Ovis aries: one gene and its partner. The protein of the gene in region 1 interacts with the protein of each later gene in a pairwise test. Links are inferred from orthologs where the notes say so. Each region holds a gene or a part of one and is shown on either strand. Other genes may lie near its edges.

Evidence for each region. The genes of interacting proteins can lie anywhere in the genome.
Region 2: the proteins of LRP6 (region 1) and LRRK2 interact in binary tests that used the Homo sapiens proteins (3 or more experiments, as listed by UniProt). The link is inferred for Ovis aries from reciprocal best matches to the Homo sapiens genes LRP6 and LRRK2.

Annotation. Positions count from the first base shown.
Region 1 is NC_056056.1:203,328,779-203,333,415, reverse strand, and holds part of LRP6 (low-density lipoprotein receptor-related protein 6), read right to left. Parts: intron 853-4,637; coding exon 650-852; intron 1-649. UniProt on the Homo sapiens protein: Component of the Wnt-Fzd-LRP5-LRP6 complex that triggers beta-catenin signaling through inducing aggregation of receptor-ligand complexes into ribosome-sized signalosomes.
Region 2 is NC_056056.1:146,885,668-146,890,304, forward strand, and holds part of LRRK2 (leucine-rich repeat serine/threonine-protein kinase 2), read right to left. Parts: intron 4,523-4,637; coding exon 4,335-4,522; intron 3,473-4,334; coding exon 3,318-3,472; intron 2,263-3,317; coding exon 2,116-2,262; intron 1,980-2,115; coding exon 1,788-1,979; intron 1,131-1,787; coding exon 984-1,130; intron 1-983. UniProt on the Homo sapiens protein: Serine/threonine-protein kinase which phosphorylates a broad range of proteins involved in multiple processes such as neuronal plasticity, innate immunity, autophagy, and vesicle trafficking.

The DNA.
Region 1 (4,637 bases):
TCATGATTAGAATGTAAACACAGATAAGATGTGTTGATAATACTTTCATTCCTATGCCACAGTCACCAAGTAATATTTACCAAAACAAAAACAAAACCAAAAACCATTAGATTAATAACAACATATCTTAGATGCTTTTAATTTTACTGAGATTGTGTTTTATGCTTCCCATTCTCTGAAACTTTTAAATGATAGTTACTAGTAAAAGAACTACTATTTATAGAGTACCTATTGTGTAATAGGTAATGGGCTATGTGCTTTACATTCTTTTCACCTAAAGATTCTTAAGAATCCTAGTGAGTGACAGAGCTGAGATTAGAACCAAGGGTCTGTTTGCTTTCAAAGTTTCCAACACTCCATGTAAACGAAACAAAATATAAAATGGAATATAAATGGATATGGGTGGACTGACAAAGTCATTCTAATATATGAGCAGAAGTTATTTTAATACAATACAATCTTCATTTCAATAGCACTAGCAAACAACTGTTTACTCAAAGATCATTTAGGAGAGAAAAAGTGCTGCCAGGTTCAGAATTCCAGCTTTATACACACACACAAGCAGAGTCATTGCATAAGTAGACTAGGATGGCCAGCTGGTCCAATAACTACACAGAAGAACCAGATTTTGAACTGAGCCCTGGATTACCTGGCTGCCATCTTCTTGTGCTTTTCGGATCATGTTTTGTCTTGAGTCAATCCAATAGAGTTGCTTGTCCAGGGGGTCATAGTCAATGGCCCGGACATTCCGAAGGCTGTGGATAGGAAGGATGATGTCAGGGCTCTGCTGTTCATCAATCACCATGCGGTTGATGGCGCTCTTCTGACTGAAGAGCAGGAAAGTAGTTGGAGCTTAAAGAGAGAAGGAAGCAAATATGAAACAGTTATCCTAAGTCTCAGATCACTCAAAGATTTGATTGGTCTGTTGTCTGTATCTCACAAAAACAGACATGTATGTTGAAGACCTGTATGAGACAAAGCCCTTTGGAATGCCTTCAGAACTCTTAGAGGAAACACTGATCACACTCTGGATACTAAACCAGTTATGAATTTTACGCTATAACACAGCCAACTAGCCAATTTTTCTCTGTCCAATGTCCACAGTGGCATCATCACAGGACACCTGATTTCAATGAAGCATTTGACAAACAAAATTCCCCTGTCTACCAAGTAAATAATCCTAACTCCTCCCTCATCTATTCTTGTGGGTGAAAGAAGTCTGGGTCTCCACAGGTCAAAAAAGAGACTTCAATAGTGGTTTTAGTTTCAGTTCTCACATAATTTAGTCACTTGATCTTAACTACAGCCTTCAACCTCGTGGGGTCGAAATTTACTCAACTAGGTTATGGTTATGCTGTCCTGCTCACTGAGTTGCTGTAAGAATTTTATAACACGAGTAAAAATAAAAAGGTAAGGTATCATGTCAATTGTACAATGTTGTTGTTCTTTAGTCACAAAGTCATGTCTCTTTTACAACCTCAAGGACTGTAGCCCACCAGGCTCCTCTCCATGGGATTCTCCAGGCAAGAATACTGGAGTGGGTTGCAATTTCCTTCTCCAGAGGATCTTCCTCACCCAGGGACTGGACCCACATCTCCAGCACTGGCAGTAGGATTCTTTACTACTGAGCCACCAGGGAAGCCCCAATTGTACAATACCTGAACAAAAAACCTATAAGACATTATATAAATGTCAAGTAAAAATAGCTATTGCTTATCATCAGTAGTGGCAATAATAAATGTGGTGTTAGTACGAATGAAACAAACCCTCATGGGTTGTAGATATATAGGCTTTGTTTTACACTGTGGGGATGTAATGGTTGCAAGGAGAGGGAACCATTAAAAAAAAAAAAAAATTCACACACTAGTTGATGCCTGAAGTCTATGAAACAGGGAAATGCAGCCGAGACAACACTTCCCTGTCCCAGGGACTAGGCCTCTGATTACTATGCAGTCATCTTTAAGGAGGAGAGTATCTAGAAAAGAACACCATCTGACAACGCTACCAAAAACTTCAAAGTCTAACAGTCTTTTTTAAAATCTTCTTTAAAACAAATGTAAAAATTCCCAAATTATACACTCTACTCTTGTTGGTCAGTCATCACCTAAATCCAGCAGAATTTTGTCCTTATCAGGGATATAAACACAAATGGCCAAAACAGAACTCCTTGCTTTATCTCCTCCTAAACCCCATTCTTCACAGTGTTAAACCTACACCCATATGTACATCAGTTTAAATCTTGAAGAAATCACTGCTTCTCACAAAGAAACTTGGTATTCACAACCCCGAAATTCTGCTTTAAGTTACCCACTGGCTCAAAGTCCACACCTAGCTTGGAAGATTTAAAAAATATTTCAGTGACTCCACTGCACTCTCCATTGTGTAGAGTCCAGAGCATACTGATTTAACAACTTTCAGCAATTTTAGTAGAACCAACACCTTAATTAGTAAGAATACATGTCACAACAGAGTAGTTAACAAGTCTCCCATTAAAAAAAAAAAAAAAAAAAGAATTATTTTTTGGCAGTACTACTTCCTTATAAATCAAGAAAATAGGGGAAAAAAAAAAAAAAAAGGTCCTGATAGTAAGCTTCCAACAAAATAGCATATTAAGACATACAATGAAACTCAGAAGAAAGACCCCATAGTTTTAGCTGCCTAATTTTCCTGCCTGGGAAATAATTAATCAAATATATATTGGGCTCCTAGTTATGTTTCACTTTGTATTGTTTTTTTCTTTCTTTGAGTCAAATTTTAACCTTTAGTAAAACATTTAGTAAGCTTTCACGATTAAGTGTTCTAGAAACATAGATGATGACAAAGCCAAATATGGCTCCAAACAAATACTCATTTCAAAAAGTCTATGGATGACATTAATTACAGTTGGCTAAATAGTTCCAGGAGGAAGCTGATATTTTGACTTATTTACAAAAGGGACAAAGAATATGCAGTTCTGTAAGCCTAAACCCATGCTAATTTATGTCACCTCTAACCACCACCCCCTCGTCTCTTGCAGAAGGCTTCAAAACGGTCCTGTCGGGCTGTCTCAGTGTTGCACTCCCACATGCAGAAGCTGGAGGAGAAGGTGTAAGCAGGCAGGAGCTTTTCAGCTCTCCTCTGAAGACACAAGTGTTCGCCTAAAGCTTAAAGAAAGGTACCACTCTGGTATAAGAACATTGTAAGTGACCAGCCCAAGCCCACCACGATGGATTGTGCTATCTCTGAGCTGTGCCAAAGGCCTCAAGCGGACTTAAGTCCAGGCTGCACCTGGGTAGCCAAGTCAAGCACCTGTGCAGCTGCATGTGCCCAGAGGAAACACCTTTTCTCAATGTGCACAAAGATGCCACAAAGGCCAACTGCTTCAGTACTGAACACAGGATTACACAATGTGGCCTCCTGCTTCCTCTCTGACTTAATCCCTTTACACTCTGTTCCAGAGACACTGGCCCCCAGGTGTTTCTCCAACATGCCAGACATGTTCCCCTCTGCTTGACAGGTCTTCTCCCAGGGAGCCAGCAAAGCTCATTTCCTCACCTCCCTCAGTACCTGACATAGTGTCACTTTTATGCCAGGACTTCTCTCGTGATCCTATTTAACATCAAGATCCTCCTACGCACCCTTTCCTGCTCATAATTTTCTCCATAACACTCATCTCCATCTACCTCATGATACAGTTTACTTATTTAGTTCATTATCTATCCTGATGGAACGTAACCTCCACAAGGGCAGGGATTAATGTCTGTTTCATTCAGCAATACATTCTTCATTGGCTCAAATAATGCCCAGTGTGGATTAGCTGTTCAGTAAATATTCACTGAAAGAATACACGAGTAAACAAATGAAGAAAAAGCATGAGATGACATCATTAAGGAGAGCCCTGTAGCCATGATTTTGAAAGAAAACAAAATTTTTTCCAAGAACTGGGGGAAAAAAAGAAACAAGCATTCATTTAGAACCTCCAACATGCCACACATCATACTAGATGTCTTCTAGTCCCCCAAATTATTCCACTTTACAGGTGAGCAAATAGAATAGTTAACTAATTTGTAAAGAAAGGTTAAGAAACTGTTCCCAGGTCACAAAGCTGCTGAATGGAAAAGCACCTGTTTTTCCAAATCCTGTCTTGCTTCTTCATTCTTCTACTGAACAATGATTTCTTGAATGACTATTATTTACTGAAAACTATTTTAGGCACCATAGATATACATCAGTTAAAAACACAGGGAAAAAAAAATTGCTTCCTGGAGTTTACATTTCAATAAACAGACAGTAAGTAATAAACATAATAAAGGTGCTATAGTATATATAAGTAATGAATTACACAGTATACCGGAGAGTGATTAAGAGTCATGGGAAAAAGAATTGTAGATAAGGGGGACTTGGCAACGCGAGACAGGGTGGAAGGAGGACTTGAAACTTTAAATAGGGCAGATTAGGTCTCTCTGGGGAGGTCACGATTAAGTCAAGACATGGAGGTGAAGTATATGCATGCAAATATCTGCAGGAAAACATTCCAAGTAGAGGAGCTACACAGTACCACAGTCCTGAAGCAGCAGTCACTGGCACCTGTGAAAAGAGCACTGAGGCTAGCATGACTGCCATGGAGAGAGAAAGCACAGTAAAAGCTGCAGTCAGAG
Region 2 (4,637 bases), about 56 Mb from region 1:
CATCTTTTAGTGCAATAAGAGGTATATTTGGAAGAACGGTATGTGATGGCTTGAAACTCTTTCAGAGAAAGAAAATAGTATGCCTGGTACTTGCCTGTATCTTTCAAATCACAAGTCAAGTTTGGTGTTGGTTAAGACCTAAGATTCAGTGTTGCTAATTCAGCATTTTGCATTAACCTTGTAATAATAATATATTCACTTCTAGAGTTCTAAGGTATTTAAAATCATCCTAAATTTCCCAATCAATGTAAAAAATAAAGGTACAAGGAGTTTATTTACTCCTACATGTCATATCCTGAATTTTAGACTTGGTTTATTAATAATATTAATATTCTGGCATATATTTTAATCATCCTCTCTGTGAAAGTTTAATTAAAATTAAATGTAAATATTCATAACAGCAACAAATACTCCACAAAGTAAAGTCAGAATTGTCTTTAAATACTTTACATTAAATAAATTCAATACTCTTCTCAGGTCCCAAGGACTCTTGGGAATGTTTAGAACTTGAGTATATTACCAATCTAATACTTTTGAATTTTTAAACCCAAATTGGTTTTTGTGACTCTTTTAATGAAAATTTATGCTTGTTATATAGAGTAACATAACTGCCACTATCACTACATAGAGGTGTTCCTCCTTTATTTATTCTTTTTGCAACTGGAAAATGGCTGAATTACTCCTCTGAAAATTTCCTAACTGCCTTCCCTATCACTGACAATTGAACAATTAAAACAAATGCAAGGATATGTTTCATAAATACCTGTGCTTCCACAGAGATGGAAACCTAGAGTACAAATGTGTGCAAGCAAAGCAAATTCCAGATTTGTAACACGTTACTTTAAAATATATTATCCCAAAGAAAAAAATTACAAAAATATATGAAGATACTAAAAACTATGACAATGTAATTATATGTGAATATTTGCTAGATTATAAAACCATACCCTAATTTTTATTCTCAAACCAACAAAAACAGTTACCTAAGAGAAACTCTGGAGCTTGTTCAAATTCCAATTCATCATTATTCAACATAATATTTCTAGGCAGATCAGCCAAAATCAAATCAGGAGCAATCTGAGATATTGGAATTGTGAGTCTTGGTTGATCTGGATTTACTAGGAGGTCTCCTGAGAAGTACATAAAACATTTTTTTTTAAAGATAAACCTTTAAGATTGTACATAAATTTGTCCTTTTGATTTACAGAAATAATCACATATTGTCTATGCGTTCCAATCACTCTTAGGTTCACTTTCCAATCTTATTTTTCTCTAGAAAATTTGAGAATGTTTTAAAAGTTGAGTTACTCTCTATTTGGAAGTTTAAAAACTCATTCCTAGGTTCACTCACTAGAAAGTAGAACTCAGAACTGCCTAGGCTATTGATATATGACTAGGAAATTATATATTCTTTACTTTCACAACATTCATGGAACACAGCATATGGCTGACATTACTAAGTTACATCCATGTATCATCTATTCTAATCTTCATAACAATTGTATGGCATAGTTTTGGTTAATAATCTCACTTCACAGATGACATATCATTGCCCAGTAGCCAGTATTCAAACTCTCACACCAACATTTTTTCTGAATCTAAAGTATAAGATCTTACTGGCAATAAATATATTTTTCTGAACTGTTAACTATAATTGAATATAGTATCCTCTAACTTATCCCTTGTAAATAAGAGCAATCCATTTTTACATTTATTTCAAAACTCACTTCGCAAATATTGAAAGAATCACTTAAAAGCATTTGTAAGTTGCGTCAACACATACATACCTTCTTCTGCTTTCTTCATCAAGTTGTCAAGCAATATTTTTTGATGCTCTTCACCATCATTAAAACTATATAATGCCCATTTCTTCAGCAGAGTTTCTCCTTCACCGCAAATATCAATCTCCAGTAATCCAGGAAACCACTCTTCCATGAGAGAATCAATGTGGTCCACAACTTGGCCCAAAAGAATACAGCCTATGTAATCCAAAGAAAACTTGATTAACATCCTAGCTGAACCTTATCCTGTCACAAATTGAAAAGAACTATAGAAACTTTTTAAAAGTTTAGATTTCTTTAGTGGTACAATTCCGTTTTGAATTAATTTCCTTACCTTTTCTACAAGAGGGAACTGTAATTTTTAAGAAACTCTCTGGGTGATGATCTAAAACTTCAGATCCTACCAAGCAGTAAGCTTCAGGAGACCAATTCAAGTAAATGCCTTGTCGCCAGTACATTCTATTTGGGCGAAGTGCTCGTTCTGAAAGAAATTTAAAAGAACCCAAATATAGCTATTAATTATTTGTTGTTCCATAAACTGTAGGGGAAAAAAAAAATCACTGCACATATTACAAGTGACAGTAACAGAGATGTATTTGTTTTGAAGGAAAGTACTGGAATTGTTAATGATATGTTATCTGTTAAATATAATATTAAATATTTTGTCCTCAATTTTGAAATGAAACAAACAAATGCCCAGTAGATTACCTAAGACAGATTTCAGGTTGATGGTGTCAAGCAGTTTAACATATGTAATAGATGAAAAAGAGAATCATAAACAGGTTCCCATAATTTTTAAAAAGAGGTTGGTGGTAATGCTAAAATCAACACTTTGATGTGATGTAACTATCTGTATGTTGATTAACTGCAAGCAAGATAAGGTTTATTTCAGAATACAGTACCATCTCCATAAAGCTGCTTTTAAGCACAAAACAGAAAAATTATATTTTCCCCCTTGGAGCACTAATATCTCTCTTTCTTCCAGGAGGAAGATCTAGCATTGTCATTTATAATTATAGCAAGATAAAGTCTTTATTCTTTTTTGTAAACCTCTCAGGGACCATGCAGCAGAATAGAGCTATTGTAGTCCCCACAGAGAATGGTTAGGACCTGTTACTCTATTAAACAAAACTCCCTGACTGAGGGGGTGGTCATTTCTAGTTTTTAATTTCTCCACGCGTGCATGCGTATTTGTGTGTACGTGCAGGGAGATAGGTGTTTTTACGCCAGTGACTCTGTAATTTCATCTTTTAAAACTGCTGCTTCTAGTCTGCTTTGGCTTGCAAAGCAAGATATTCATACACATTGTAAATGTGCCTAAAATAAGTACACGTGGACTTTGAGGAATTTTATTCTTAACAAATTTCATGAATTTATCTGTGTATATTTTTATATTGGCCATGCTGAGGTCTTTTGAGCTTATTTCCTGATTTTCAGCTGCATTACAAGCCAGTAAACTCTAGGAAAATGACATATTAATTTTAATATGCTTTCTAACTATCTTCTCCAAATATTAATTCTTCATTAAATACATACCTCTTCCTGAAAGCATGTAAGGTGAAATTTCAAGCAACCGATTGATTAATCTTGACCAAAAGCCCATTGGAAAATAAGGCATTTCATACAGTCGAATGATAATTTCAGAGTTCTCACAATGGGGAAGCTCTATTACAGGCCTGTGGTCAGACAAACTAAAGATAAAAGCACACTATCATTATATAGCTTCAGAAAACGCCCAACCATGCTGACCAGAGTGCTTTACTACTTGAAATCAATGAATTGATGATGATAAATATTCTAAGCAACTTTATTTTTTAGTAATGTTATTTTGCTACATACTCTTCCTACTTCAAAATTTAATGGTTAATCAATTCAAATCATGCTCAGATAAAGTGATGTATAAAGATTTTTCAGTAATCCTATTTACATTATAAATAAATTATTATAGTTATGTATAATAAGTAAAGGGATTACATAAAACTTTAAAATATGTATATCCTAGAATCAAGTGTATATCTGTGTTTAGAATTAGTTACCATCCATCAATCATTGCAATTTGTACTTTTCAATGTCATTTACTTTATAACATTTCCCAGGTTTTATAAGGCAGTAAGAAAAATTTCTACAACACAGTGCTAGAATTTAGGACTCCTTGTGTTGGCCATATCCTCTGAAAATTCACAGTCATAAATTATTTAAAGACTCTGTTGAAAAATCACCATTTCTCCAGAATCTGCCTAATAACTCCTTCAATATCATATGAGGAACATACATACACACACAGCAACACAAACACTCTCTAATCTCCACTATTAACCTTTCTTAAATAAACTGAGCATTGTCAAATCAAATAATAATTATATATATAAAATCATTTACATCTTTAAAATGTCAAATGTAGTCTTCACCAAAAGAAAATGCTATACTCCAGTACAAAGTTTACACAAGAAGGAAAAAATTAGCACATTCATCATAGACCAAAGTTACTTTCACAACTAAAAGAATATATGGTAAATTTCCATAGAGTAATTAAATTTTTAAGTTTTAGCTTACCTGCTTGGAACCAGTAAATATTCTTCTCCAATTGGCAAGGCAATCTGGAATTTTTCTAGGAGTTTAAAGTACTGTGCCATGTAGTTCTTTGGAAATCTCTTTTTCTTTGAAAGAAATTTTTCCACATCTCTGCGTGAAATAATTCCCTTAGGATGTTTTGGAAAGCCTTCCACTTTCACTGTCAAAATCTGAAAGGTTTAAACGTATACATAATCATAGAATTCATCTGCTGGAAAGTTCTGAATTTAAAGAATTTCCTTTGCTCAGTAAAAATGATCGAAACAATTCTAATGTTGTCAAGTA